Linked DNA regions of Drosophila melanogaster. Changing the gene in region 2 together with the main gene of any one other region gives a genetic interaction. Each region holds a gene or a part of one and is shown on either strand. Other genes may lie near its edges.

Evidence for each region.
Region 1: of H (region 2) and ed, changing one suppresses a phenotype caused by changing the other (phenotypic suppression), as found in Drosophila melanogaster (3 studies listed by BioGRID).
Region 3: of H (region 2) and pzg, changing one suppresses a phenotype caused by changing the other (phenotypic suppression), as found in Drosophila melanogaster (2 studies listed by BioGRID).
Region 4: of H (region 2) and sno, changing one suppresses a phenotype caused by changing the other (phenotypic suppression), as found in Drosophila melanogaster (2 studies listed by BioGRID).

What each region holds. Positions count from the first base shown.
Region 1 is NT_033779.5:4,028,021-4,035,019, forward strand, and holds the start of ed (echinoid), read left to right. Parts: upstream 1-3,356; 5' UTR 3,357-3,535; intron 3,536-4,402; 5' UTR 4,403-4,655; coding exon 4,656-4,749; intron 4,750-6,999.
Region 2 is NT_033777.3:20,619,492-20,629,249, forward strand, and holds H (hairless), read left to right. Parts: upstream 1-2,446; 5' UTR 2,447-3,004; coding exon 3,005-3,007; exon of another isoform or gene 3,008-3,092; coding exon 3,093-3,807; intron 3,808-3,879; coding exon 3,880-4,053; intron 4,054-4,639; coding exon 4,640-5,400; intron 5,401-5,550; coding exon 5,551-7,102; intron 7,103-7,268; coding exon 7,269-7,297; 3' UTR 7,298-9,424; downstream 9,425-9,758. Other genes in the region: CG5466 (uncharacterized protein), read left to right, coding at 1-137, 371-591, 671-864. UniProt on the Drosophila melanogaster protein: Is a potent antagonist of neurogenic gene activity during sensory organ development. The expression of distinct cell fates by the trichogen (shaft) / tormogen (socket) sister cell pair depends on the level of H activity.
Region 3 is NT_037436.4:21,283,033-21,291,481, reverse strand, and holds pzg (putzig), read right to left. Parts: upstream 5,384-8,449; 5' UTR 5,046-5,383; coding exon 4,415-5,045; intron 4,355-4,414; coding exon 1,995-4,354; 3' UTR 1,936-1,994; intron 1,877-1,935; 3' UTR 1,172-1,876; downstream 1-1,171. Other genes in the region: CG12974 (uncharacterized protein), read left to right, coding at 6,347-6,427, 7,012-7,300, 8,005-8,336.
Region 4 is NC_004354.4:13,207,329-13,213,958, forward strand, and holds the start of sno (strawberry notch), read right to left. Parts: upstream 4,347-6,630; 5' UTR 3,775-4,346; coding exon 3,772-3,774; intron 1-3,771. Other genes in the region: REG (proteasome regulator gamma), read left to right, coding at 5,261-5,630, 5,828-6,195. UniProt on the Drosophila melanogaster protein: Notch pathway component, may contribute to the specificity between lateral and inductive Notch signaling pathways in the wing disk. Required during many developmental stages including oogenesis, embryogenesis and imaginal development of the eye, wing and leg.

The DNA.
Region 1 (6,999 bases), on a different chromosome or scaffold from region 2:
CACGAATCGAGTTACAACAAAAGAAACATAGGAAATAGAAACGCACACGAAGCAATTATATAGAACTTTGTTCCTGGTCGAAGGTCCAGGTACAGGTTACAGTGGTCATCGTTAATCGGAATTATCGGAGAAGATTTCGATTAAAAATAATTGGAGAATTGGTTAGCAGTGTTGCCTTGAAAATGTTTCAAATCTTTCAAAATTTAAATGTATGTTTTTTTTTATTTTTTAGCTCTACTGTACTTTCGTATGGCATATGGTTTCGAACCCCGACCGCAGGCTGAACCAATTTTCATAGAGATTGCAATTTAGCCCCAAACCTTAACCTCAATGCCCCGCTCGTTCTCTCTCTCTCGACATCTCTCTCTCTCTCTCTTTTGCAATTTCTTCTCCTTCTGCCAGCTGCCGACGGAACGGAGTTGGGTTCGAAAACCTCAAACCCATAATTAACTTGGCCAAAGCAGACGACAGGCTGCACTTTGAAGAGCAGAAGACTGGAGACAGAAGACTGCAGGCGAGAGTCTGAAGACAGGAGACTGAAGACAGGAGACTGGAGACTGAAGACTGGTACTTGAGACAAGCGATTTAAGGCAGGCGAAAAGACAGTTTCCCGTATTTTATCGATGCTATGAATAAGCAAACTTTGCGTAGTGATAAGAAATTAACTTTGATTAATGTTTAAATATTATGAAAAATCCTTCTTGTGAAACACTCGAGTGTAGCACTTTGTATTTGTTTGTATTTGTTGTCTTTTAAGCGGCTTTATTTTACTTCTTTTTCGGACTTCTTGAACTTGACTGACAGTGCTGTTCCATCTCACTCACTCATAGTGCTTCGCTCTCTTTCTCTCTCAACTGGCGCAACTCTCTTACCCCTCGCCATCACTTCTTACCAATTTTTATTACATGGAGTGAGTGCAACAAGAAGTGGTAGGCAAAAGGAGAATAAGAAGGTAAAAAACAAGAAGTTGCTTAGGTAGAAGAATTGCTCCTTCTCTCTCTGTCTCTCTTTCTCATCTTCCACTTTATTTCGTCTTCTTCATGGATATTCTTATTGTACCTTTTTTTTGTGCTTCTTGTTGTTGTCTTGTTTATTACCTGCTTTTATTTTTTGTTTTCATCTTATGCGCCTACAACTTTACTTATTTTTTATTCTTATTTTTTATATATGTATTAACTTTAATTCACTTGTAATTCAAGCAGTCTTCAAAACCGCAGATCATGTTGTGGGTTCTTAATTTTGCCAGCCAGTTTCTTTTTGAAATTCAACTCCTTCTTCTTAATCTTCATCGTGATTCTGAAAATGTTTTTTTTTTTCAAATTAAGAGTTGAGTTTCATATAGACTTCCTCATCTAAGCCTCTCTTTTCAGAAGAAGTCGTAGATATCAAGTAATGAAAATTGAAATCGATTTTAGGGAGAAGAGTTGTATTTGTAATCTATAAAGCTACGGAAGTAGAAAAATGTTTATCCGTGACTGTCCCTATGGTTAATACATATTTTAACCCAAATTTATGGCGATTAATATGCAAGGAAAGTAATGCTAAGGAAATTACCAGGATCTACGAGTAAACAGCAACATTAAGCAAGGGATAGGGATAATTAAGCTGGATTTTCGTGTGCTCCTAGCGAGGGAAGGAAGAAAAAAATGGGGGGGGGGGAGTGGTTGTGTTGTCTAGTCGTCTTTTCACCTGAGGGAAATGGGGGCGGGGCCAGCCCGCCAACCCAAAGGTCATTTGTATGCGTCTTTAGTAGCGGGACATGTCCGGCGTTTTATGATGAGGAGAAATCACCTTGGGGCCCAAATCAAAAATTCAATAAACATTGAACAGCGACGACAGAACAGACAGAACGAGCAGAAAATCTGTTTTAAAATTATTTACCATTCTTGGGCTGCTTGTAAGTCCTATGCATTCATTATGCAAAGCGCGTGGCATGACTGCTAAATAAAAATATTGAATATGCAGAGCCACTTCAGCTGCTCAGAAACAAAGCGGAAAAAATCAATCATTCGCGGTATTTCTCAAAAGAAAAAAAGAAGAAAAAACCCTACATAATACCAAGACTTAGTGCTACTGTTTGGGTAAATTATAACAATTGCGTACTGATTTTAGTGGATAATCTAAACACTATCTATACTATACTATATACGGTATAATTGTTATTTGAAAGTACAAACAATTTTAAGTTTTTTTTTGTAACCTGGCTCGTGGGTGTGGTCATAAAAAAGTCTAAGAAAGGTTTAAGCTGCTGAGTGTCGTAGCAGTGAGGTTTTCGTCTCGAATATAACGTGTTTTTTAGAAAACGGGTTTACTTGAGGTGTGCAAGAGGAAGGAGGTCTCTTCACAAACTCTTAAGATAACTGGTTTAATGTAGATCGCTACAGGGGGTGCGAAAGAGATGGACATAGCTATGTGCGAACTTAACGAAGTTTACTTGCCTTCAAGCTCGAACTTGTTGCATGTACACTATCGCCGCACCTTTCGCACCACTCTTATACCCGTCACTCGTACAGTTAAAGGGTATACTTAATTCGTTGAAAAGTATGTAACAGGCAGAAGGAAGCGTTTCCAACTTTATAAAGTATATATATTCAGGATCAGGAACAATAGCCGAATCGATTTAGCAACACACTTTCTAACACTTTCGCATTTCGCATTCGCATTTTCACTAGCTGAGTAACGGGTATCTGATAGTCGAGAAACTCGACTATACCATTCCCTCTGGTTTAAAACCAACTTGTTGCTGGCTTTTCTTATTTATATTTTTCTTGACTAATTTCCCGACTGGTTTTTCTTGTTGGCCAAAGAAACGAGTTTTCTTGGAAAAAGGCACTCAAAACCTCTAGGAAAATGCAACATGTTGCTAAAGGCAAATTGAATTTCCATACAAAATTGCTTCTATTCGTTGCTGCCTTAGGCTCATTTTCACCATTTGGGTCCGTTATCGACGAAAAAAATATAAAATATATAAATACGCATACAATGTTTTTAAAACCAAATGAAACAATTTTTTTTCCAAAATGGGTTTACTTCTCCTTAAAAGTTACATATAAAAGAAACTACATGATGATTTAAACTTAAAAACAATTTTAAAATTATTTCAAATTTATTGGTTCTTTTGTTGAAAACATTACATGCCTAAAATATAAAGGCAACATTTATTATTTGTTTTCTGAATATAATCAAACTTAAGAGAAATTCGCTATTATGTTCTCTTAATAAAAGTCGAGTCAAACATGTTAGCTTAACTTAACAGCGCTGTTAACGGCTCTCATCAAACGCGTTCGACTCGAACTTGTGCGGACTGTGTTGTGGAACTTGAATTTTGCGGCTGCGGCTCAAATTTTCGTTTCCCTTTCTCTGTGTGTTTTCCCATTTCGGATCGAACGCTTCGTGGAAAAGTGAGCGCGCGTTGTCTGAATTTCCCGCCGCGTTTTTCGTCGATTTCCGCGTGTGTGCGAACAACAACTCAGCAGCAGCAACAACAACAGTCCCAATTTATTGGGTAAAACGCAGAAAATATACTAAATTTGAGGTATAAAATTGAAATTTATACAAAATTACTGTGCACAGTGTATGTGTGTGTGTGGTTTCAGTGGCAGTGGAAAGACCAAAAGCAACGGTATACAAAATCAAAACAATGCAAGCAAGCAACAATAAATACAAAATAATAGATTTATTTCGAATAAACAACAGTTAAAACTTTAAGAAAAGGAAACGAAGCTAAGATAAATAAGAAAAAAACGCAGCATCTGCGTCATCTCTATCTCGCTCCCTCCCTCCCGTTTTATCCACGATCTCTGACGATCGCTCTGTCCCCCTCGCACTCGCACATCTTTACCGATTTACCTGGGAAACAGGTTTAGCGTCCATTTCGTGTGTATGTGTATGCGTGCGTGTGATTGTGTGTATAACGTGTATTGGTGTGTTTCTTGGAAACCTTTTAAGTGATTTTCTTACCTGCTCAAAAGTACAACAAAAGCAATAAAAACATGTTGCAACTCTAAAGCAACAACAAGCACGAAAAAGTGTGAAGCATAAATGCAGTTATAACTGTGAAAAAGGAGAGGTAGATAAAGGCGAAGCAAAGATATGGATAAATGAGATGAAAAAGAAAACTTAAACAAAGTAAAAAAAACCTGTTAAATTTTTTTGATATATTAATAATAAAAAATATATTATTAATTATTGCAAATTTATGAAAAAAAAAAAACAATGGATGGATACAACTTAAAAGAATTAGTGATAATACAACAACTGCCATAAGGACTTGGATTATAAACATAAACTGCACTTGAATAACTAATAAAAAACAAGAATGCCCGTGGAACCACATACAACATCTTAACCCCACAAAGCCGAGCAATTTCTAATCAACAACACCATTCTTAACCCTTTTCAGTTGTTCTTCTTCGTTTTCGGCTATCCGTTCAAAGTTTCGTGTGCAATAAATAAAAAATACTATATCGTCGAAAGCATAAAAACATTAACCAACGCAATGGAGCGTTGCAACAACACCACTAACTGCGAATTGGAATAAGAAGTCCAGCAAAAGTAGCAAAAATTGTTTTTGCAAAGGGAATTGAGAGTAGCACCCAAAGATAAGCAAAAACAGTAGAAACATATACAAAATATATTCAAAATATAGTCACAAAATGAGGCGAAAAACTACCACGAAAGGGACGGCAATAGTCAATAGCAGGAGTGCGAGGAGAGCAGCAACGACTATATGCAACTTTTTTCTCATCGGTAAGTTTACTTTGTTCGTTTGATAAGAAGCTTTTTGTTTGCAATGGAGTTATATATGTATATAATTGCTAAGAAGATTACCCAGCTTTTCTCGAGCATTATTCCAGAACTTAAATATCTATAGGGGGTATCACTTGAGTTCATTTGTTTATCGGTGGTAAGATTGATAGCTCCCGATAAATCCCAATCTATTCGCTAGCTCACTCTTTGTGTTCGGCACACGCATATCACAAATCAATTAAAAGTTTCGGTTCCGCCCTTGACATACCCTGCTTATGACAGCTCCCCTTTTTCCGCCACTTTCCTCCGGCATTTTCCCCCTGTTTTTTCAAGTCGCCTTTGCTGTTGTCACCTTGCGACGTCACTTTAGTTTTTTGTTGATCTAGGTTGTTGCAGCTTGACGTCAGCGTAAAGTTTTTTATCTGCTACCCAAGCCTCCCCAATTTTCCACGCAATTTTCCGCAGCCCACCCCTTTGTTGGCTCCTGTCAATTGGCAGCATTTACTAGGAAGATATTGAATCGGTAGCTAAAGTAAAGTCGATATTCCATGAAAAAAACTGATTAACCATGTATTTACTATGTCTATATCCACACTTGACAGTCTGAAAGATATAAGTATCGTCTTAATTAAAAATTCCAGCATAATTTTCCACTTTCCAGATGCTCCGCATCAGTTAGGAAATGCTGTTATTATGCAAGAATATTTACTGTGTCACAAATAAAGGGCGCAAAACTGGGGGAGAGGACACAGTGGTATAAGTATAGGAAAAACTTTAGTTTGGCACGCTTCGGCAAAGTTTTTCCCTTCCGCACACATAATGCTTTGCTTACAAAATGCTTTTTAATACTTAAAGAACCCCTGGAAAAGTCGGCAAAGGGGGGGGGCTGGGGCTAAATTTAAATGTGAATTATATCCACTCAATCGGGCAAATCGGTCAAGGGAAGTCGAAAAGGGGAGCAGCCAGTTCCTTTTTATTAATTTGTCTGGCGATTAGTTGGGGGCTAGTCCCTCTGAGTTTTTAACCCCCTCAAAAGATATATTGCACCATTAACTTTATGGCGCTCTCCGCGTTTTCAGCTCGTGTTTTGTGTGTGTGCAATCAGTTAATAAACAAAACGTGTTGATTTGACATCTTAATTGGGCCTTTGACACGCGTTTTCCAACGCTTTTATACGAACTACTCGTAAAAGTCGTCTTTGAAGCTTTAACTGTCAACGCCTCCGACCGAAAAAAAAAACGAGAAATCAATGAACTCTCTATGGAGGCTTTTTAGGCCTCAAGCTTCTGGGGAATTGCTCCACTCGGGGGCATTATTAGATTTGATGACAGTGGCCAAGAGGGAATTGACATTTAAAACAGGCACGCGGATCGGAGGGATCAGACATTAAAAACGCATTAAAAGATTAGCAACGAGGAATGGTGGAAAACTAAAGACCTTTGGCGGCTTAGGATAATAATTACTTGGTAATGTGCAAATGGGCTGAACTAATAACCTTAGCGGTTTCGTGCTTATATATGTAATGTATAAATAGTTTAAAAATATTTAAATATTTATTTAAATAAACCAACATTTTCCAAAACGCCCCTTCCATGATTTATTTTTAGCCATGTCTTGTGTCTTTTTCCCACACCATCTACTTGATTGTCAGCACATTTATCCTGTTGATCCTTGAAGTGCATTCCAATTTGGTTGAGTTTTCCTTGGAAAATCCCCGGTGCCGTTGTGTGTACAGTAAAATGCTCAAGGAGCAGCACAGGATATTGCTTAAGAAGTGCTCGAAAGGCAGTTTGCAACAATTTGTGTGCGTCTCCTTTGGTTTTTATGTTTATTTCGTCTGCCTTTGGTTTTTATTTTCGTTTGTCTACCTGCTAACTGTCGCCCTTTTTCCTGTATTTCCATGCCGCTTTCCCTTTGAGTTTTCCACATTCATTTCATTTCCTGGCTTTTCCAAATGCCTGCGCTCCTAAAACGTTACCTTACCCCGCCATTTTCCCACTTTTCCCTCCGTGTTTTTAGCGCGTGAATTATGATTGTGGCTTAGTTTTTCTCACTTTTCCGGAGTTGTTATTGTCCCTGTTTTTTTTTTTTTTTTGTTTTTTGGTCCCCTTCATATCATTTTCCACACATACACACACACACACTCGCACACGCTTGCTGCAAAAATATCTGCAACTGCTGCAACTTTGAAATTAAAATAAATTAAACAAATATTTTGTTTGTTTCAAACATTTTTTACGTGCAAAATTC
Region 2 (9,758 bases):
GCTGCAGCCGGCCCGCAGGCCCATCACGGACACCATCCCTTGCCACCGCCATCGCAGTCGCCACACTCATCCTCTTCGTCTTCCTCTCATTCCTCGTTGGACCAGATTACCCACAAGAACGTCGCCGACTCCTTGCGGTGGGTGAGATTTATTAGATATTATTATTTTAAATTCTTTTTCTTGGCAAAACATGTGTACAAAGACTTATTTTTTTATTAAAACAAACAAAAAATATTGTATGTATTTGATAAGTAACGAATTAGGTTGTTTACAATATTATTTATTATTTGCTATATGTAAAGTAAATTGATCACTTTTAAATGTTTGCTTTAGGCCCTTAATTGAATTCATTTAACTTTTCCGATTTCAGTTCCAATCTGGACTCAATAGAATCGAATAAGGATCTGCTGGCGCTGCACAACGGAGCCTGGGCCACCGGCGATGCCAATCGAATGGATCACTTGGCCGTGGGTCAGGACAAGATAGTGCGCATCTTTGCGGAGCTGATGCGAAACATGTCGCGGATGAAAACCTACATACGTCCCTCGATGTGCAAGCCCTACGGCAAGCAGAGTGAGAGTCTGCAGAAAAGTGAGTACCTTGGCTGGGAACCGGTTTCGCTATCTGCGATGCTGACCGCCTCCTGCTTGCTCGTTCTCTTCCCCGACAGCCCTCATGGACACCATTCAGATCGTGCAGACGCTGCGCAACTGCCTCCCAGCTCCTCACATACCCGTGTCGTCCTGGAAAAGTGAGAGCGAGGGCAACGTGGGATCAGGAGTGAGCGCGGGAGTAGGAGTGGGTGTCCCTGCAGGACTTAACCTGGGCGCCGCCTTGGGTCTGCCATCGGGCAACATGCACTAGATGCGGGCTGGAGCTCATCGGGTAGCATGCAATAGCTCCGGATTTATCCACTCACATTCTTCCAGCAGTTAGAGAACACTTAGTACTTACACGCAGAGAAAAGCATAGATGATAGGCATAGCAATTTACCCTCGTAGGCGTGGCTCCAGTTTTCCTTTTAGCAATTACGTGCCATGTTCAACACAAGACTTGATTTCACATTTTCCACATTTGACTGACCTTTAGGCATACATATGTATCGAATCCCGCGGCTTGAATTTGATTCCCATCACTCTTTGTTTTCCAGTTTGGCATGCAAAATTATGAAGCAAATCGGCAAATTAGTTAAACAATTGGCAAAACGTCTGTGATATTTGAATTATGTTGGCAAACGGAAGACAAAACTAAATTTAATTTATTACGTTGTGTGCCCTCTGTTGTAATGTCTTACTTTTTACTTTGTGCAATATCTACTAAGCATATATTCTTAGCCGTTCTCGTGCAATCGACGACTTTTCGCCCATATCAAAAGCAACTCGAATGTAGCCTATACTTAAACTAACCTACTGATAATCGGACATGATAGACGCGTAAGACTTACATTATATTTTGCATTAGGACTTCAGAGTATCTGAATAACAATTGGCGGATGGCCGCGGTGGCGAAAGCGACATTACGAGTTGTGTTTAAATTTAAGAAGCTGAAGAAGGGTTGTACTCCGCATGCAAGGGCTATTTAAATATATATTTTAACCCGCCCGAGCTCACCATTACCAGAAATTCGATAAACGAGCAAACAGTATTATACGCAATAAAAAGACACCTGCAACCATAAGTATTTACCTAGCTGATGTGTGGGAATTTATCGTAACATACCATATTATCGCTTAATGTTTAACTTCTGGACTTAATAATAAATAAATATTTTATTCTACGACAAAGAAGAACTTTTCAATGTAACATTATTAACTGCTTTAAGTCATATCCTTAAACTTTCGCCTTGAAAATCTTTAAAACCCTACAGGTATTCCAAATTAATAATCTCAGGTGCTAGAAATTTAATTAATATATTTTGGAAACAGCATAAATTAGTGAAAATACAACATTGTTTTAATCAAACATTTTTAAAAGCATGTTTTCGGTTGCAAAGTTTTCCAATTTCAATCCTGAAATTAAAGTTGAGTTGAACAATTGCTATAAAAAGCGACCATTTATTACGTTTTATAAACTGTCCCGATTGTGATTTTAGTTGTTTATTTTATTTCATATTTAAAACCGTTACTATTTTAAAAATCGTTCGCTAAAGATTGTGCTTTTAAGCATTGATAACTATCGCTAATTGCCAGAATTCGTAATCTTATTTGACTTGAATTGTAAAAATATAGGATTTAGGATTTTTACCAAATAGATGTAGTTCAAAGAACACAATTCTTTTTATTATTAAGCATTTTATTTTGGGAGTTCCTTGCACTAGCTTTTTGCAGCGACCTGTGTGTAAGCTTACATTGAGATAACATTAATGTGAACGTGCAGCGAATGCAGCACTATAACATTGGCCAGTGGAAACATGATATTTGCTAGCATGCTGACTGGCGCCGTGGATTTTGACGTTCTTAGTTGACGGTCACACAGCGCACCGAGCTGCGTTTTTCGTTGATAATTTTTAAATTTATTTATTAGTTTATTGGTTGGAAATAGAGCTGCCCCCAACTGCCCGCTGACCACGGAATTATCGGTCCGGTCCACCGACCTCCGCTTTCACACACTATTCGGCAATCGATATATACGCTGACGGTAATTGGAGAACGTTTTTTCCATTTTATCTCCACCTTGTCCGCACTTCGTTTTGTGCTCTCTTTGTGCGCTGCCTCCGCTTAACATTTGGGCCTGTAAGAAACACATATAAGCAGAACGGCCCGCCGTGTGTGCCTGTGAAATTGGTTAAATAACGTACAGTGGAATGGGCCAATGGCCAAAATGCAATAAGAATATGTGTGTGCAATAAAAATAGGGAACGGTACCGTGCCCCAAAACATGAAAATGGTGCTAGACGCTCCTAACGCCGTGCCGAGCTGGCATATTTTGCTTAGCGACGCCGTCGGCTCCGTTTTTCCCGGCCGCGAACTTTGCGCGAGGAATTTACAACAAAAACAATGAATTAAATGGTATTTAAATTGTCCATATAATGCGGTTTGGAAATGCGAAATTGTGCCTAACTTGCCCAATGCAAACGAATGTTTCTCTTTGAAGGCCCTGCTTAATGACGTCACAAGCGTAGCAGAGTGCAACAGACAGACAACAATGACCGATGAGCATAAAAGTAACATTAACAGTAACAGCAGTCACTCCAGCAACAACAACAACAACGGCAGCAGCAGCAATAACGACAACAACAGCAACGACGACGCAGCAAGTAGCAGCAACAGCAAAAACAACAACACCAGCAACGAGAGCAGCCACAGCAACAACAATACTAGTAGCATAATTGCAGAGGCGGCCGCCAAGTTTCTACTGAAAAATGGCCTAAACGGCAGTAGCAGCACCAGCTACCCCCCTCTGCCACCGCCTCTGCCCGCCAACTTAAGCAGGACGACCACGCCCACGACAACGACAACGCCCTCATCCTCCAGCTCCACCGCCTCAAATGGCTTTTTGCCGCATGCCAAGACGCCCAAAAGTAGTAGCATTATGGCTGCGTCCGCCGCAGTGGCAGCCAGCGTCGTTGGAGCTACTGCGTCCAAGCCCACCATCGATGTCCTGGGGGGCGTCCTGGACTACAGTTCCTTGGGCGGAGCTGCAACAGGCTCACTGCCCACCACTGCAGTAGTAGCGGCGGCAGCGGGAACAGCGAAGATCGGCAAGGGAAGCAACTCCGGCGGAAGCTTTGATATGGGCAGGACACCAATATCGACGCACGGCAACAACAGCTGGGGCGGCTACGGTGGTCGTTTGCAGTTCTTTAAAGGTAAGTATCTTGGTTTATTTATACCGAATCAGAGCAGTGTAAAGAAAACCATTTTTTAACTATTCTGCGTAGATGGCAAATTCATATTGGAACTGGCGCGGTCCAAGGATGGCGATAAAAGCGGCTGGGTTTCGGTCACGCGCAAGACCTTCCGCCCTCCATCGGCGGCCACCTCCGCAACTGTGACCCCAACGTCGGCGGTGACCACAGCGTATCCAAAGAACGAGAATTCCACATCGCTGAGCTGTACGTAACACATGGCATAGTAGTTCCCAACGGATTACCCCTTCCATTTAATTACTTGACCCGATTGGAATCAGATTTGAGTAAAAGGAATTGGATTTTGAAACATGTGTAGATAGCTAGCTTAATCCGAGCGGTCAAAGCTTACAAACACTTGCAGTTATAAAAAACATGTGCCTATTTGACTTAAATTGTTCTAATGGCACGTAGAGGATAAAGTCCAATTTCGAAAACAAAAAATCTGTAAAAAACGACCGCACCTATGTTCAAATCTCTGATCTATTTTAAAACTGTATATATCGGCCATCTCTAATATTATATTTAAAATCTACGAAAATGTCAAACGTTTTAATGAAATAGTAAGAAAAAACCAAACTGTTCAGAATCGGTCATGTTCTTTGTATGACAGTTTTCCAATTCGATCCTATAAAATATAATGTCCTCCCATCCTTGTATACATTTAAATCCTATTTCATAAATTGTTAACAATCTGAATCAAACAAAAGCAAATATTTATTTATGCCAAACTATAATTAACTACTACAATTTGTCTATGTATACCTTGCGTTAATATTCCTCTTCATTGCAGTTTCGGACGACAACAGCTCGATACAATCCTCTCCTTGGCAGCGAGACCAGCCCTGGAAACAGTCCCGACCCAGGCGCGGCATATCTAAGGAGCTGTCGCTCTTCTTCCACCGCCCCAGGAACAGTACGCTTGGCCGAGCTGCTCTCCGGACAGCCGCTCGCAAACGACGGCGCCCCCACGAGCCGCTTACCACCAGCGAGGATCAGCAGCCCATTTTTGCGACGGCAATCAAGGCGGAAAATGGAGACGATACTCTTAAAGCAGAAGCTGCAGAGGCCGTTGAAATTGAAAATGTTGCTGTGGCGGACACAACCACAAATGAGATTAAAATTGAAAAACCGGACACGATCAAAGGCGAGGATGATGCTGAACGGCTCGAAAAGGAGCCGAAGAAGGCGGTTAGCGATGATAGCGAGTCAAAAGAAGCATCGCCCGGTCAGCAAGTGGAACCACAACCAAAAGATGAGACTGTTGATGTTGAGATGAAGATGAATACGAGCGAGGATGAGGAACCCATGACAGAGCTGCCCAGAATCACGAATGCCGTAAATGGTGATCTAAACGGCGATCTAAAGGCGAGCATTGGGAAACCAAAATCCAAGCCGAAGCCAAAAGCCAAGCTCAGCAGCATCATTCAGAAACTCATCGATAGCGTACCAGCACGGCTTGAGCAAATGTCGAAGACATCAGCTGTGATCGCATCGACAACGACGTCTTCAGATCGCATTGGTGGCGGTCTAAGTCACGCCTTGACGCACAAAGTAAGTTTTACTTGGCACAACCTGCATAAGCTGCGGTTTCAAATGTTAATCATGTACTGCAACATTTTTATTATGTTAAAGTTGTAAATCTAGTTAGGGACTTTCATAAAGAAAAAACTTTGAATTGACCACTTAAATATCTTCTTTTAGGTTTCTCCACCCTCTTCTGCGACAGCAGCCGGACGACTAGTCGAGTACCACACCCAGCACGTGTCGCCCAGGAAAAGAATCCTGCGCGAGTTCGAAAAGGTGTCGCTAGAGGACAACGGATGCGTAAACAACGGCAGCGGTGGAGCTAGTAGCGGTGGTGCTGGAGGAAAACGGAGTCGAGCAAAGGGAACTTCGACATCGTCTCCGGCTGGCAAGGCGTCACCAATGAACTTGGCGCCACCCCAAGGAAAGCCAAGCCCCAGTCCCGGCTCCAGCTCATCCAGCACTTCGCCAGCGACCTTGTCAACGCAGCCAACGCGGCTCAACAGCTCTTACAGTATCCACTCCCTGCTAGGTGGGAGCAGTGGCAGCGGTAGCTCATCCTTCTCCTCCTCTGGCAAGAAGTGCGGCGATCACCCGGCAGCTATTATCAGCAATGTGCACCATCCACAGCACTCAATGTACCAACCCAGTTCCTCGAGCTATCCACGCGCCCTGCTCACCTCGCCAAAGTCGCCCGATGTGAGTGGCAGCAATGGCGGGGGCGGAAAATCGCCCTCGCATACAGGAACCAAGAAGCGTTCGCCACCGTACTCGGCGGGATCACCCGTAGACTATGGCCACTCCTTCTACAGGGATCCCTATGCGGGAGCAGGTCGTCCTTCCACATCGGGCTCAGCATCGCAGGACCTGTCGCCACCGCGCTCTTCCCCAGCATCGCCAGCCACGACGCCGCGTACTGTGCCCAAAAAGACTGCATCGATCCGACGCGAGTTCGCTTCACCGTCGGCCAGCAGCAGTAGCTGTCCCTCGCCCGGCGACCGGAGTGCATCGCCCCCGGAACGGCGGCACATGCAGCAGCAGCCGCACCTACAGCGTAGCTCGCCGCTGCACTACTATATGTACCCGCCACCGCCCCAGGTGAACGGGAACGGCTCGGCCGGAAGTCCGACCTCGGCGCCGCCCACGTCGAACAGCAGTGCAGCTGCAGTAGCGGCGGCAGCAGCGGCCGCAGCCGCATACATTCCCTCGCCTTCGATATACAACCCGTACATATCCACACTGGCGGCGTTGAGGCACAATCCGCTGTGGATGCACCACTATCAGACAGGAGCGTCGCCCCTGCTGTCGCCACATCCACAACCCGGTGGCTCAGCGGCCGCCGCTGCTGCAGCTGCTGCTGCGAGATTATCGCCCCAATCGGCCTATCACGCGTTCGCGTATAACGGAGTGGGAGCGGCTGTTGCCGCTGCAGCAGCTGCGGCAGCCTTTGGACAACCGGCGCCCAGTCCCCACACGCATCCGCACTTGGCCCATCCGCACCAGCATCCGCACCCGGCTGCACTGACCACCCACCACTCTCCCGCTCACCTGGCCACGCCAAAACTGACTGATAGTAGTACCGACCAAATGTCTGCAACGTCCAGTCATCGCACAGCCTCCACTTCGCCGAGCAGCTCGAGCGCATCGGCCTCCTCCTCGGCGGCCACTTCGGGCGCCAGCTCCTCCGCAATGTTTCATACTAGTAGTCTAAGGAATGAACAAAGTTCAGGTAAGCATTCAATCAGTGCACCAATAATGGCAAGCAGTTTGATGATTCAATTTTCATTCCTCTGGGAATGTCTGAAGAAAATATATTACAGATCCATTTATTATGTTGTCAATTTAATGCACGTAAAACACAATTTAATAACGTTTCTTATTTATTTCTTCCTTAGACTTACCACTGAATCTGTCAAAGCACTGAGACATACACACGCCCCAGCTGCCCCAGTTTCTGGGCCAACCATTCGAGTTAAGAACATTTTCGCACTAGTAGCGCTTAAGACGACATTCAATACACGTAATATAATTTGATAAGTTCGCTGATAGTTTAGTTGTAACCCGATTGTTTAATCCTAAGCCTAATCCTAGGTTCTCAATTAGGGCCGAACATTTAGAAATCGCATACAAAAAGAGATGAAAAACTCAACTTTGTTTTTAAACCCGTTCCAGAACTCTTTATACAATCAGTTGAGAAATTTTATTTTCGACAAACTGAATAAAATATGCAAAGGAATTTTATTCTATGCCGACTAATGGAAAGAAATACTAATAAAAACATTTTCTATAGGATGTATAAAATGCAAGTCTTAAAGAATCTCAAAAAAGAGTTACGTTTTTTTCATCAAAACATTTCCTTGAAACAGACTGAACCTGAATTTTTTTAGAAAAAAAAAATGAAAAACTTAGTTACGAATCGCAAAATATAACATTTTAAAGTATATTTAACAAAACTACAAGAACAGATTTTTATAAAATGCTTGTGCCTTTAAAAATGGAAACAGAACTAGGGATACAAAAATTAATATTAAAAAGAAAAAGAAGTTTACTATAAAAACATTTATGTGCAAGCATGTGCAGGTATTCTATGGTGAAAACTTTAGAATTTCTTGATATCGTGGTCCAAAATGCAGTTGACAGGAATTTGCACTAAGCAGATTGTATACGACACCAACTTTTTAAGTACTTTTAAAAATGTATCTTTTAATTATTTCGGAATAATTATTCTAAAATAGTTAAAAGATAAAAGCAATCCAAAACTATACAACTCGTCTGTACTTCAAAACGAAAGAGATTACTCTTTGGTCTTACATTTTTTGGTAGACTGTAAAAACTAAAATTCGAAAAAATTGTTGAAGTTTGAATTTAAATCCTCGGCGGATCTAAATTTAACCTCCACGATTGTTGTCACCATCAAAAATATTATATAACTGTGCCTAGTGCACATTCGCTGTCAGTGGCTGTCCAATCAAAAACAAATAAAATGTACAAAAAATCCACATATACGACAAATTTACAAGAAACGGAAAGCAAAAAGATCCTAAGCAGACAATTTCAAACCGGAACTCGTACAACTGAAACTGATACAAATAAAAAACATATTCCTAACGCAAAAAGACAAAAACAAAACGCGGTTTCTCATATTTTCTAAATTATTTATATAAATCAAATGTCTATTTATATTTACTGATATGATAATGTGTAAGTAAATAGGTGTAATTGTAAATACAGTATTTTTACACAACAAAAAGTTAATCAATACGCGAGAAATAACCAATATATTTAATATAACTATTTTTATAACGGATTTTAACAAGTAACTGTATATTTTGTATCTGATTACGCAGAATAAAAAACAAAACGAATTCCATATGAGGTCAAGAACAGTTTGCACAAGGCGGCCTGAAACTTGCTTAAAACTTAATGCACTGAACAAAATCCGAACTAAACACATCTGTTCCAGGCAGATACAAAATATTTTCCAATGGAAAAATGGAGTAGATTCATTTATTTTTTACTAATCAATACATAAATCTTTCAGTTCGAAATTTTTAAGCAAGTTGCAGTCGGCTAAACTTTTTAGTAGGCTTTAATGAAAATTAAAAAGAAATATAAATACAATTTTCATACAAATTCCATATGGTTTCTACTACCTACTGATTAGTTAGTTAGATAGGCGTCTAGGGACTATTAATTTACATTTGTAACGGTACTGTGTACGACGTTTTTGTTTAACTGAACGGTAGTGTTTTTAATTTGAAATTCGATGTTTTTAGTGAGTGGCTATTGTTGAACGAACACATGTACTATGTGCATTGTCGAACAATGTGCGCAAACCCAAAAAAATAATTTTGGCAAAAAGTGAAATATATGAAGTAAGCAAATGGTTTCAAGATACTGCATCTCGTGATGTTGGAGTGTGTGTGTAAAGTAAAGGAAACAAAATTAATTTTAAAGAAATATATTTTATATAGGTATATATACTGCAACTGAATACTTGATGTCAATAAAAACTTATACTAAATGTATGAAAACGTATCTACGAAAGCTTTGCGTTGGGCATGATTAATCCGATGATCCGATTTCCCCATTAAAACGACGTTAGTTATTGAGACGAATGCGGTCTATCGTAAACGTAGAAGCACATAATATATCTATATTTTTCTGGTTTCGCTTTAATTGTATACATTCGTTCGTTTCTATATTTGATTTCTTTCGTTTTATTGTATTTATCCAGCGATTTACAAAATACGTTACAATTATTAGAGAACATTATAAAATGAAACCGGGAAACACGATAATGTTGATTGGTTGCTGGTACAAAAGCACACACAAATTATAGTACACAATTAATCGTAATGTAGGGATAGAAAATCGTTAATTTT
Region 3 (8,449 bases), on a different chromosome or scaffold from region 2:
AAGCTTAAGATTTATGGACCGCAAAACTAGTCGAAGTCATGTTTTCTATGCTAATGACCAGCGAATCAAGCGCACCGAAATGTCAGCTTTCATCAGCGCACCCTAGATCTGTGAGCTTCGCTATAAATCTGTCATACCCATCCGATCCAATCTGATCCGATACAAAGTGCGACCTTGTCTTTAAGAACGACTTTCGCTTTTCGATGCGGCAATCGGCGAGAAGATTGCGCCTGCCGTCGCTCATTTGCATGTGGGCGCCTAATTAAGGCCGTTGCATAATATTGACCGACTCTCGAAGAGCGACTTAATGTAACCGACAGACTAGCAAGCCAAGTGGAGTTGACACCGTTTAATGTCACCGAACCGCAACAAGTTGCTGATTGATGCTGTCGGCTCAAACTAAATCCCCAATTTGGTTCCGGCCTCGAAAAGATTACCGCGCCCATCGCCAAAAGTTCACCGTGTAAGTGAATGAGTTAGTTGCTAGAACAACTCCCTTCCATTGAAGCGTATTCGAATATAAATTATTCATGGCGAGTTCGTTTATCTTATCTTCCTTTCAACAAATCCATTATATAAATGACAAACAACCCGCAGGCGCAGATCACCAATTTGTACGCGTCCTATTTTTGTATTCATAACTATGAAATAATCATTAGTTCCTCCAAAACCGCATCCACGTGCCAATCCGGTTGCTGTTTTCAGAATCACAACATTCACTGATTTATGGATCGGAACGGGGCATTCATAAGGCCTTCATGACAGTCCAAATGCTTTAATGCCACCGCTGGCAGTTTAGTATCCAACTTAGTATTAAATCTTATTAATCAACTACCTGAACATTTAAATATAGTCGACCTCATCCGCCGCCAACAGGTGTTGGGCAATTAAGAACGAGTCGAAAGTTTCGCTGGTATGCATACTTCGAAAATATCATTCATAACCGACTAATCCATTTTAAAGGTCAACGAACTTACTGACTTGAGAAATGAATGGTTGGATCCATACTGACAATATGTAAACTTTGGGACTGCCTTCTGTGTCATCTGTATTCATTGGAACACAGTTGCCATCAGCGCGTTTAATTAACTTATCTGAATTGATTTACATGCATACCAAATTCCAAAGATCGCTCACAGAGTATAAAGGAACTTGAAACCGATGTTCGTTTCTTTACAATTATATATTTCAAGTTGCTTGACATATATACGTGCATGCATATATTTGGGCGTGTTTGCGGCCTGTGTTTGTTTGTTTTGGGTGTGAATCTGGAGTTTATGGAAGTGGAAAGCGGGATTGTTCACCTATCCTTACATTTTACGGGGATCACTAGGTGTTAGGAAGCATCACTATTTCTGAATTGATTTGTGCCGATTTCGGAACTTAATTTTCATCAAATGTTTGTGTTTAAATCGATTTATTTAGTGTAATTGTTGAGTTATCTTGTAAATACATACATTTATTATATTCCAAGTTTCTCACATAAACTCTATGTTTATACATTTTTTGTCGCTTTCATCTTGCAGTTTTGTCTATACTATTACTAAACCTAGATACGATATTTAAGAGGCAACCAAAGAGATCTGGCTTGAGATCCCTGGCAGCCTAGTGCGAAACGGACCGAATGAACAATTTGATTTATTGAATTAGTTTTTTTCCTTTGCTTGGGTAATAAGAAATCTTTCTTTTAGTTTACTGGAGTGTTTAATACATATACTAAATGTAAATATATATTGAAAAGGTTCGTGTGTGTATTTTTCTGTCTTCGTGTTCAGTTGTCTGTAAAGTTGGTTCGGTTGTGGGTGTCAGGGAGTGGGTTTCAAATTGGGGTGTGCAAAAGTCCTCCAGAGATCTTGAGCGTGCCCACAGCTAAAACCTAAAACAAACGAAAAAGTATGAATATCCCAGTTCACGCTGGTGATTCCTTTAACTTACCAGTCCTCTTCGCATGCCAGTATGGTATAGTGGTCATGACCACGCCCCTAGGGCCAATCCTAGTCGGTCTTTGTCTCCGTAAACTCCTCCAGGGCAAAAAAGCTGCCGCCGGAGGGGCCACCAGTGCTGCTGGCCGTGCTCGTGGCAACAACGGTGGTGGATGCCGTGCCACTAGATGCCTCCGACACTTGCACTTCCTCGCCGGCCGAGTCGGCAGCCGCCTCCTTGTCATCTGCACCTCCGGAAGCGCTGGCTGCCTGCTGTGCGGCCTCCAGGACCTGTTGCTGAACCTGGACGATGGGCTGGCCATCTTCCGTGTACGACACGGACACTGGGATGCGGGTACCATCCTCGCTAATGACATGAGCGCCTTCCTCACCATCCTGTCCCTGCTGGATAATTAACTGCCCCTCGGAGTTCAACAGGGAGGCATCGATAAGCTGCTGTTCATTGTTGTCACCATGGACAAGTACCATCTGGCCACTGCCATCGGTCATCATCTGGAGGGTTTCGCCCTCAAGTCCCTCGCCGGACTGCAGAACTCCTACACTTTGGAGCAGCTGCTGTATTTGCTCGGGATCTTGCACAATTATTTGGTTGCCTTCGGCGTCCGTCAGGATGTGGTTGTCCAGCTGGAGGAGATGGCCGTTCTCGTTAACAATGAACTTGATCTGGCCACCTTCCACCTGTGCCTGCATGGCTTCGTCAAGTTCCATGGCAACATGCTCGCCACCTGCAGCTTCACCCGCCTCGCCCTCGGCTCCAGTACTGGCAGTAACCTCGCCTTCGCCAGATTCACCGGCTTCAGCGGTCGTGGCATTGGCCTCCGACTCAGTTGTGGGCGTATCTGTAGCCTCACGCTTAGCAACTACGTCTCCTTCGTCAGATGGTTGTGGTTCCTCAGCAGCGGCGGCTTCCTTTGACTTGGCGCTTTCTCCAGCCTTGGCCTTGGCTTTCTCTTGACCTGCTTTGCTAGCCGTCTTGGTTTCCTCTGAGGCCTCAGCTTCAGCAGCTGCAGCCTCGTTGTCATCATCTAAACTGGGCATGGAAACCGGTGCGGCATTGGATTTGCTATCGGCAGAGGAGGCCTCGCCGCTTTCGCCCTTGGCATCGATGCTGCCCTGGGACTGTGATTCGTCTTCGGCTTGATCCAAATTTGGCATGTCAATGCTAACAGAGACAGGTGCTGTGGTATTGGGCGAATCCTTTTGCGATTGGTCTCCGTCCGGTTGCGGGATAGTAATGTTGAAGGTTATGCCTCCACTGCCCTCCTGCGAGGTAATAACCATCTCGCCGCCTTTGCTTCCCGGTTTGGGCGCCTCACCGCTCTCGTTCTTGTCGGAGTGGAGCTTTTCAAACAGGCTCTCAATGTCGGCCTCTGCGTTTTGCTCGCCGCTCTCGTCACCGGCCTTACCAGTTGCCTCTCCGGGCTCATCGCTTAGTAAAGCCGTAGCTGCCGAATTTAGGGCAGTGGCTCCGGCCGAAGTTGCCTTCTTGTCACGTCTGTGGGTCTCCATGTGGTGGTTGTAGTATGTCTCCTGGATGAAAGTCAGTGAGCAAATGCTGCACGAGAAGAAGCGTATGTTGTTCTCCGACTCGGTGGTTGCCACCACAGCAGCTGTCGAAGCAGGCAGGCTATCGCTCAGTGCCTCATCAATGGTCTCTTGAAGGAGCTTCTGGGTGTTCAGGTTCTGGCTAACTGACTGCTTGGGCGATACCGTCGATGCGGAAGGACTCTGATGCACTTCGAAGTGCTTAACAAGCATCTCCCGTTTCGGGAAGGTCATCGAACAAGTGCCGCACTTGAAGAAGTTGGTCTGATGCTGTTTGGCATGCACAGTAGCAGCTTCGCGCGTCTCAAAGCGCTGAGAGCACAGGCGGCACTTAAAAGGCTTAGGTTTACCAGCGGCATGCTTGCGCATATGCTCATCAAAAACGACCTTGTCCGTTGACTTGAACTGGCAATGATTGCATGTGTATAGCGATGTTCCAACCAGATTCTCGTTGGCAGCAGCTGCAGCGGCAGCTGCAGCAGCAGCCACGGGAGCAGCTGATGCCGGTATGGTGGTGGTGCTGGTCACCAGTACATTGGTAGCGTGATTCGTCTCCATGTGCTTGCGCAGGCTGTTCTCGTTCACGAAGTTAATGTGACACATGGCACACGTGTTATCCATGGCGGTATTGTGGTCGCGCACCATGTGCTGCTTCATGGCCCCAAAGTGCGGGAAGATTTTGCGGCAGGTCTTGCACTGGAAGGTCTGCTGCTTGCAGGTTTCATAATGCGTGTTGAACAGCCGCATATCCGAGGTTTTATAGTCACACGAGGTGCATTTATAAATCTTGGTGGCCTTGCGTTGGACTGTCTGGGTGCCTTGGACGCTGCTCTGGGTGGTTCCTGGGGCGATCTTGGACTGGCCAACTGTACGATTGCAGAATATGCATTAGGAAAGCTTTATAATTTCTGTATTTATGTACTTACCTGGGTTTCCCTGCAGGAGTTTACGTGGACGCAGCAAATCCGCACTAGGACTCTCCTCCAACGAGCGATTGGCGGATCCGCCGACCATTTTCTGCATCTTGAGCGGCGGACTGCCTTCCTGGCCCATATCCTCGTTAATGGCATACTTCTTGTTAAGCAAACTGATGAGGTTCGTCTTGACGCGCTCCACATCGTTTTCCAGGCGGTCGTAGTAGTTCACCAGGTTGGTACAGCGTGAGCACACGTAATCCTCGCCGCAAACAATCACGAGGAAACCCTCGCCCACGAGCTGGGCCAGTTTGTTGGGGAATTTGGTGGAAGTGTGCGTGGTGCACATATCGGTTAGCGAAGTCTGTGGCTCGCAGCGGTCATCGCAGATATAGCATCGCGTGGCTAATCCGCCGATACCCACGCCACCCGACTCTGCATCGTTGACCGCCTGCTGCTGTGCTACGCCGCCAACGGCTGAGGCTCCTCCGGCAGAGGCACCTCCTCCTCCGCCACCACCGGGTACCACCATACGCGTCGACTTGAGGATTCGCGGCTGGCTGGGACCGGTCACAGTGACCGCTCCGCTACTGAGCAGATTGTTAAACTTGCGGTAGGTGGCCGGATTCAGTTGGTTGTTCATTTCGTGGCGTTTTGGATTCAGGTGAGCACGCCGTAGTGATGGTGTTATTCGGTTTGTGCGGGCGCTACACGCGCAACTGCAAGCCGCTACCTTTCAATATTAATCGGCGATTACGACAAACTACACTTCTGCACTCCGGTTTGGCAGCTTGCTGGGATTTATGTATCGATCGGGTACGGATGAGCCACTCGAACGAAACAATCTATCTTTTTTGGACACCAGGAACAACAATCTCTTCCGTTTTTAATTTTCGGTTTCGTTCTGAGTTGTCGCGGCGTCACTTTGACTGTACTAAAGACTCGGTGCTGTATTTTTTAGGGTTAAAAATGCGTATGTGCTGTAGCAGTTCTCGACGGACGCGTATGGTCGTCTCGCTCTTTAGCATGCTCGCTGCCCTGGCACGGCGGGAAAACATGGGCTAGTCGTTTCACTCGCACGCCACGGAAATGGCGGCTGCCTGGGAGGTCAACCATGGTCAGACAGAGAAAATCTCACAGCGTTGCCGTTCATTACGATAACGTAATTATTTACTTGAAATAATAAAGCATTTATTTTTCTTATTGCGATTGCTGAGTGGTTAAATACAAATAAATACTTACTTGTTGTGCTTGTATTTGTAAAAGGTAAATAATTAGCACATTTTGTCTTGAAAAAAGGCTCAGCGTCATTCCTATCATGCAATGTCAAAATTAACAGTGCGTTTTGTAGACAGTAGAGGGCGCCTTTGCCCGCCCACTTTAAATTCACAAATATTCTCCTCGTAAATATTTGGCATACCCAACCTGTGAGGTAAGCATTAAATACTTGCATTTACGCAGTGATAAAGGCCAACATCACTAATGTGCTAATACATAGGACCGATAAGATTCCGAAATTCCAGTTTTACCTATTCGATTTAGGTATATCTTTTAGCCAAAGGAAAGTTGAAGGGAAGGGGGCTCTCTTATCAGTAGCGATAATATAACATACGACCTGATAAACGTTCCAGCCAAACCACAGAATTCAGTTAACGAACGAAACGAAAAGCGAGCGGATACCGCCTCGATCGAAGCGAAACATAAAAAATAAAAGCCCCTGGCCAGTTGGCTTTTTGTTATAAGAGCCATTATCGCAAGGTTTATCGGGAAATATAGTAAACGGGTGGCGAACTCAATTGTCCGGCTCGATCGTTCAGTTGGCCAACAGACGTCGCGTACTGCAAAAGCGCACTCAACCCGATCGATTTGAGTCCCGCATACGGGGCGTGAGAATATCTCCCAGTATCTGGAAACCACCCCTATATATCGAACAGTCACTGCAAAATGTATTCAGCACCAGCGGCAAAAATCAAGCACTTTGGCTCCCTTAAAACGGTAGCAGCTTGGGCCGGAATTCTCGGAGTGGTAAGTCGGCGCTGGCAATTCAATGTTACAGTCTAGGCCGCCAAGCGACCGCGACCCCATTCCCAGCTCATCGATAAGTGATATGGGGAGATGTTCGACCTGACATTGAGCGCACTTACTAAGATTGGATGGTCTCTCCCTATCGAATAGTCCAGTATTCCAACAGTCGGAGAGCTAATCATGATACGAGTATAATACTCATTGACTCATCCGGGACGGCTCCCAAACTGAAGAACTGAGCCGCACCACAGATATCAGATAATGCCGATTGACGTGTGTAAACAAGTGAATGAACAAAAGATCTAGATTGGGACACTAAAAAACGTAAACGTAAATAAGTACATACAAAATTGGATATTTCGCTGGGTATGAATAATATCACGATCTAGAAGCCATCCAACCTCTTTAATGACGGAACACGAAGAACAAACGATAAAACAATTTTATTTAATTAATTTTCAATATAAATATAAATTTAAAAAAACATGACAAACAAAAACCGATTAAAAATAGTGCTCATTTTTATTCAGTGTGGCTCTGACGTTTTGAGAACTCCTCTTATTTTATTGTTATTTTTATTTCAGGCCCAGTCCATCATCTGGATGGGCTTGACCATAACAGCGATATGTGCCTACAATTGTGTCCTGTATATTACAAATGACCTCACCTATGGCTCCATGGTCAAGACTGTATTCTTTGACGTGTACTTCAAGGGCAGTTGCAAGATGAATCCCAGTGATTACCAGAACTACGACCAAACCATCCTGAATACAGTGACTACTGTTTTTGATCCCACCCAGATTTTGATCTGGAATTCGGTCTACCTGGGCGTTTCGGTTTGCTGGCTAATCGTCTCCGTTGTGCTGCTACTGTGTAAGTACTTTAAGAACCGGAAATGAACTGCATACATAGTTAAGATATCGAAGCCTTTATGATTCACGAGGAGAAATCTAGAAATTTATTTGTGAGGCATCCAAAACTTACGCATGGCACACAGCCGTAAAGCCCAAATAAACAAAACTTGATGATAAGTTCGCTGGGAACTTATATGATGGGTTATATAACGATTTCATTAATGGTTCTTTCCCACCATATACAATTTTCAGCATTTGCTATTGGCTTTCAAAGAATTAAGCACATTAGCCCACAAGTAAACTGGAAAGTCTTATTCTTTGTTATAGACAGATATATTCATTCATACAATTCGTTTTCTAAAGTTAAAATATAGTAGCATGGTTATAGTTATAGTTATGACTCAATCTTAATACTGCTCAAATATGTACGAAACATATCTTATCTAGTAATTGATTAATTAAAATTTGTTAAGTGCTATTTACTTTAATTTTGAAACCAAAGTGATTAGCTTTTTGACACATTTTAGAGCATACTTTACTCGTACATAATGGTCTTTAAAATTATATTACCTAATGACTCCATTATAAGATTGATTGATGTATCGCCAATAAGTAAGCCCATTTAAGTATCACATGTTTAGCGCCCTGTTATGTTCCTGACAGCACTTGCCCGTAATGGATTACACTTAAGTTAATAACCCGCTTATACTCTTACCATTTCAGGGGTGCGCAAGGACAACCCGAAGCAGACCGTGACTGCCATCTACATCTGGGCCTTCTTCGTGGCCACCATATGCTGCATGGATGTAGCTTCTGGAGTGATCTTCGGCGTGGACTACGGACGTTTCCACAAGGAGGCTCTGAGGTATAATGCCAATAGTATCAATGCTGGTGTCATCTATCCCTTGGCTGCCACCTTGATCGCCGGAGGAGTGGCTGCCATTTCCATGATGGTCATCTCCTTCAAGGGATTCGTTCTGTGGTTCATTAACTTTGGACTGCTCGCATACCTTGTCGCGAGAGCCATTCGAATTTCCACCGATAAGGACAATGTGGTAAGTTGTGGTCAGGTCGGCGAGTGAGCTCATCGCCCACCAATGCTGAGTGACTTCTTCGTTGTCTCCGCTGATTCCATAAATTTTCGACACTGCCTTTGAAAATATTCCAA
Region 4 (6,630 bases), on a different chromosome or scaffold from region 2:
ATGTTTAGAAAAAACGGCACAAAAAGCACGAGAAAAAAATGCGCACGCCGCGTGTTGAAAAAAAAAACAACGAGGGAATCCCCCGAAATGGGCGAAAAAAACAAAAAATAAAGATATAAAATGCCAGGGAAAGGGATATGTATATACATATATATAAAAATAAATATATAAAAGGAGCGCACACTCACAGAGTTTTGGGTAGAAAAATGCAGGACCAACGGTCAGATGCTTTGCGTCGCCGGTTGGATGAGGTTCTGCGGAAGATCCTGGGATCTGATACTGAGAACCACTGGGCAAACTAAAGCAACCAAGTAAACTGGAACCACCTCTTTGTTCACAAATTATGGGCACTATTTTTCAGAGTTCGGGAAACTGTGCGACTGGCTCGATGCTCGTGTGGGAGCCAACTACCCAAAAACCTCGACCGGAGTTCGAAGACCGGAGTTGTCGAGCAGCCATGGGCCACTTTGCCAGTTTGCCAGCCAGTTTGGAATACCACCGAAAACAAACCCAAAATGGAAATTTCACAGCGAGCACGAGCACATCGCACATAGTACAAGCAAAGTTTGGGCTGCAGTTTTTCGACGGCCAGCGACAGGAGGGGTTAAACGGGGTTACCAACGGGTTAAGCAGGGTGTTATGGGTGCTACGGGCCCGCCCAATGGGGTGGGTTTTTGGCCAACATCTCTCCACGGTCAGGACGACGAAAGGCAAGAACGGAGAACGTAGAACGTAGAACGTAGAACTGGGAACAGGCCGATAAACAAACGCGAGAGGCCAACCCCTTGGCGAAGGACACAGTGGGTTAAGTGCGAAGCAGCATGTCCCAATTAATTAGTTAATTGCCATACAGGTATCATCAATAAAGAAATATTTCCTATTTTATTATTATTATTATTATTTTTTTTAATATATGGATTATAAATTGAGTTTGTTTCTTTGCTTATTTTATTAAAATAAATTTATTCATTATCTTGTTTTTATCTTCCAACTAGAGTTTGAAGAAGTCACTAAGATAACTATCGTATCTACCAAACTAAGATTTATTCCATTCTAACCTTTTCATAACACAAAATGGTCGCGGACCACAGTGCCCCACTTTAGAACGAAAAAGGGGTTGGCATTTTCCCACCCCCTCCGCTTGTGGAAATTAAACGAAGTAGCAACAACAAAATGTTTGGCATGCAGAGATACGAAGTTTCCTCCTTTATGCGTAATATGCATGTGCTTTCTCTGCTCCCAGAAACCCCACATCCCGCATCCCACGGCCCACCCACCACACCACCCCCTCAACCCTTCTAGCCACCCTCTCAACCCCAACCCCTTTAAACCAAAGGGTTTTGGCTCAGTTGGCAGCTGAATGCGGCCAAAGGGGTTGGTCAGGGGGACTGGAGCAGGTCGAAAGTTGTGGAGGATGAGGGGGGGGGGGGTGCCAGGAGGAGCAGCAATCTGCAGCGCATGTACAGCAATTAGAGCAAGACAGACTGCTGTGGCTGTGGATGTGGGCACGTCCTTGGGGAAGGGGTAGGGTGCTGGTGGGCGCCGGAGGGTGGCGACGGGTCTGGTTGGCTCGTTCGCTGGCTATATGCGTTCAAACATATATACCGTGTACCTCTGTGTGCTCCGGGATAAAACAACTGGCAAGGGACTTGGGCCAAAAGCAAAGCAAACAGAAGCAGCCGAGACAAACAAATGCAGTGAGGACAGTGAACGTCCGCTGGAATGATCGATCACTATAAAAACTGATCTACGACAGTGCGATATATTCTCAACATTTTTCCAATCAGATTTCAAAAACCAGCTTAACTCAAGTAATCACCTCTTTAAAATGAATATTATTATATTGTATTTGGCTAGGATAGATAGATACTAGATACTTAATTAATTAATCATTTACATTGAAGTCATTTAATTAGGCTCAAAAGATAAAAATAAGAATTCGCTATTAGCATCTGAAATGCATTCCTCAACGAAAACATAGTTCTCACTCCCAAATCAATTCTAACTCCGCAATATTTCATCCACACCTCCGCCTGTTAATGGATTGCAACATTTTTGTTGACACACAAAATAAAATCAAAACGAATGACCTTGCAACAAGGGAAATGTTGAAAATCTGTGGCCAAAAACATGTGTTTCCATCAACCACCCTCTCGCACAAATAGAAACATCAACATGTTGTTGCCAAAAAAAAAAAAAAAAAAAAAGTTGGTATGAATTACGAAAAATAAACAGCCACAACATTAACCCTTATCAGCAGGGTAGGCGAATGAAAAAATAAAAACAAAAGGTGCAGATAAAAACGGACAAAAAAGGACACAAACAAAGGCCAAGGAAAATAGACCTGAAAAATGTTACAAAAATGGGGAGAGATTTAGCTAATAAAGGCTCCCGCTCCCAGGAGTTGGCAAAGAGATGTTGACCGGGCCGAGGGAAATGTGAAAGCGCAGGCGCCAAAAAACTCGGAATGCATTGGCCAAAGCGGACACGGCGATACATAACACGGCTCGTAGGACCACTTACCCACCCTCCCCAATCAGAAATGCTCTGGCTGCAGCAGAGGAAAAGCAGCGCAGCTTGTGTGGGAGGGGCAACTCGCATTTCTCAGGATGCATTTCTGAGCTGCAGCTGCACCAACTGCAGTTCTACAGTGGAAACCCCTTAGCGGGGATTCTATCGAACTTTTGCGTGAGTGGTTTGAGTCTCTGCCAGGGGTTCCGTCGCTCATGCCGAGCAACAAGTGTGAGGAAAAAAAAACTTGGAATAATAACGAATAAATCCGGGTAAATAAACGATAATCAAATCTATTTCTTTATCAAGAAAACAAATTGTGAATCGTATTATTATATCATAGGGATAAGGATAATTTAGATAACAAATATGTGCATTTTGAGAGGAATTAAAGTTATTTTCTTTGCACGTAAACAAAAGCATAAGCATTTCACAAATCAATCACTGTAAAGCTGCGGTACTTGTAAAACACTTGAGTAGTCAAAAGCTGGCATAAGTATATCAAATTTCCAGTAATTGATGATACAAATAAATATTATTAACATATTTTATAAAAAATGATTCTTTGAATAGATTAGCAACACTATTACGGACTATATAATTTAAATTACATTTGTAGAAATAGAAATTGTATGGTCATAGTTTTGATAACATTCAAAACGATGCCGCCCCCTGAAAAATAGTTGTCATCCTCAATTCAATGATGCACCATAGACCCATAGCCCCATACCCCGCCCATGGTCTTAACCCACATGTTGCCCCTGAGTCGCATGGCCTTAACCCTAACCTAGCGCAACTTTTGTCGACTGAATTCGTTTAACTCGTGTGCGGGGGAAAAAACGCCAAAACTAAACTCAGCGTGTGTGCACGAAAGAGAGGGGCGAGCGCTAAGAGGGAGTATGAGAGGGAGAGAAAAACACATGGTTCCAGGCCACGCGAATCTGCGATATAAAATGCATCCTTAGAAATTACAGAAGAAAACAATTGCAGATAAAAAAAACAGCAACAACAACAAAATGGGTGGACGAGGAAAGAGCGAAAGGCGCAAGAAAAGGAGAAACAACAATTATTGAATGAGTTGGCTACTGCTCCTTCTTCTCATTATTATTCTCCTTCATCAGCTTCTGCAGCCGCTTTGTTTTTGTTTTATGCATGTGTGTGTGGGTAAATGTGAGTGTGTCAAAATTTAGCAACAAAGAAATTTATATTAAGTCATGCTATTGACGGCAACAACAAAAAAGCCAGCTAACTTAAACTTACCATTTTGATTCTCCTGCTTACTGCTAACGGTGGTTGTTCTTGATGTTCGTCCCTCCGATGGTTCTTGTTGTTGTTGTTAACCACAAAAAAAAAATCAACAGACCGCGCACCCACGCGTTTTTCGTTCTTTTCTTGGTTTTTTTTTGTGTTTTGTTTAAAATTTATATATTAATTTCTTTTTAACAATGCGTTTTTGATGCTGTCAACGGAACAGAACAATTGTGCGGCAAGTTAGATAGCAAATGCAGCAAATATAAAAGGCTGGACTCCGCAATTTTCAGCGCGTTAGAAATGTTTTTGTTGTTGTTGTTCTTCCTGTTGTTATTGGTGTTGCGATAATGACTGCATGCGTGTGTGCATGCGTGTGTGTTGTTGTTGTTGAGTGTGTTTTTCTTTTGTTGCTGCACGCGGTATTTCGCTTCGGATAAATTTGTTCGTATGCGTTGTACCGCGCAATACACGCAAAACGAGGAATCGGAATAAAGGAGGAAGGAAACGAGAACGAGACGAGAATGAAGCGACGAAGCCGAAAACACACGTAACATGCCAACTATCGCAACTAACGAGATGCCAACTAGATAGAGCTGGAAAAACATCGATGAGAATCGATAATGGTGAAGCGAGAAAACGTCAGTTTGACGATTATTGATAAGAATGCCGATGTATACTAAAACTTATATTTGGGCACACTTATTTATAGCGTGTTTGCTCTAAAAATATTAATAGCTTAATATTACTTATAATATATATATATGGAAAATATTTTAAAAATATAGATATTTAAATGAAAACATTTTAAATTGCACAAAGGGAGACATAATAAACTTACTTGGTATTTAAACAAATCTATCGGTCTGGCACGCGGTGCACACAAGACTATCGATAAATGGCGCGCGTCTTATTTCTTTATATTTCATGATATATATCCGTTAAATTCTAATCACGTTACAACAAAGTATATGCAAGTTTAACATGGTAAATGAGAAGCGAGCTTCAGCTGTTGCATTTAAATAAATGATGCCAACTGCAATGTACATTAATGCATTTAAATATGTTTTGCCAACTTTAATGTTCAGCTAATTTGTTTATGAAACTGAAAGTAATTAGAAGACTTTCAATCTAAAAAAAGTATAGAAAAAATATATATTGACATTCAAGATATTTAAGATACTTGTGGGGTATTAATTTGCAAAATTTCTGCAAACTTCGACGCTATCGATAAGCATCGATTATTCTTTTTCTTCCACCTCTAGCACCACATGCGTGTTGTTGCTTGGGCATCAAAATTTGTCGGTAAGTCTGGTTTTCCCGCTTTCAATTTCGCAATCCGCCGACACAAGTCCCTAAAAGTCCGCCGATTTCAGACGGTCCGCGTTGCTGATTGTTATTGAGAAGATAAGGAACGAGAAGAACCGGTACTACGCCAGGAGACAGGACTCAGGATCAAAGGCTTCCACGGACACGAAAAGGAATCCACATAGCTAACGAAATGCCTAACGACACTGTGGTAAAGGTGCAGGAGTACAAGGACTCGTTGATCCTCAAGGCAGAGCTGCTAATCACCAAGGGGTTCCCGGAGAATATCGTCCGGCTGAACGAGCTGCTGGCCACGCCGATCTTCAACGAGCGCAACTTCGAAGAAGTGCACCAGGACCTCAACATCCCGGTCCTGCCGCCTCTCCTGGTTAAAAACGAGTTGGAGGATCGTGACAGTCTGCCCACCAAGCGCCAGCGCGTGGATGTCATCGTCTCTGGGCAGCCTGTCATGGGTCTGCCCGCCGGTACAGTGCCGTGCAACAAGCCGCTCTGCGAGATGATCAAGGTCGTCAAGCCTATCATCAGGAAGCTTGTGGAGGATTGTAAGTACACCGTATATTCAAGCGTCTCAACCTAATAAATGTTTTTATGCTATTCAAGAGCCCCTTCAATTTTCCTAAAACAATGAATTCCAAGAATTTTTACATTCGAACGGTACAAATGCCAGTAGCTAAAGTTTTGCCTGACATTAAGCTTTTTAATGAATACCTAGTAATTTCTGAATTGATTTCTTTTGCAGCCAATCTACTTAAGATGTGGATCTCCTTTATGATACCCAAGATCGAGGATGGCAACAACTTTGGCGTCTCCATTCAAGAGGACACGCTTGCCGAAATTCAAACTGTGGAATCCGAGGCGGCCGCCTTCTTTGACCAGATATCGCGCTATTTCTTGTCGCGCGCCAAGGTGGTGTCCAAGGTGGCCAAGTATCCGCACATCGATGATTATCGGCGCGCAGTCGTCGAACTTGACGAGAAGGAGTACCTCAGCTTGTGGCTGGTCGTTTGTGAGGTCCGCAATCGCTACTCCTCGCTGCACGACATTGTTATTAAGAACCTCGAGAAGCTAAAGAAGCCGCGCTCCTCAAATACCGAAAGCCTGTATTAGGCTAGGTATTTCCGAAGCCCGAGCCTCAACTTTTTTTTTTCCTTTCCATCATCTTACTTTTCAATCAATAATCAGCCCGTAGAGCGGACGGTCAGCAATTCTTGTCGCTACTCAAAAAGCTAAGATTTTCCAATTCGGTTTACAAACATCAAAATTCTTTAATTGAAGAGCAGTGATTGAACAATAGCTGTAGCCTAACTACCATCAACTATTAATCCATTTGTACTACGTCTAGAATGTAATGTTGAGATTGGCGTACAATACAAGAAACCGATGCTGTATAGATTCCACTAATAGCTATAGCTATGCATAAAAAGAATAGGCGAGCTCCATTGACACATTTTTTCAACATTTCCTAATGTAAATTTATAACACGGGCGCCCCTCATACGGAAAATGTCCTTAAAAATGTGTGAAATATAAATCTTTATAAGTA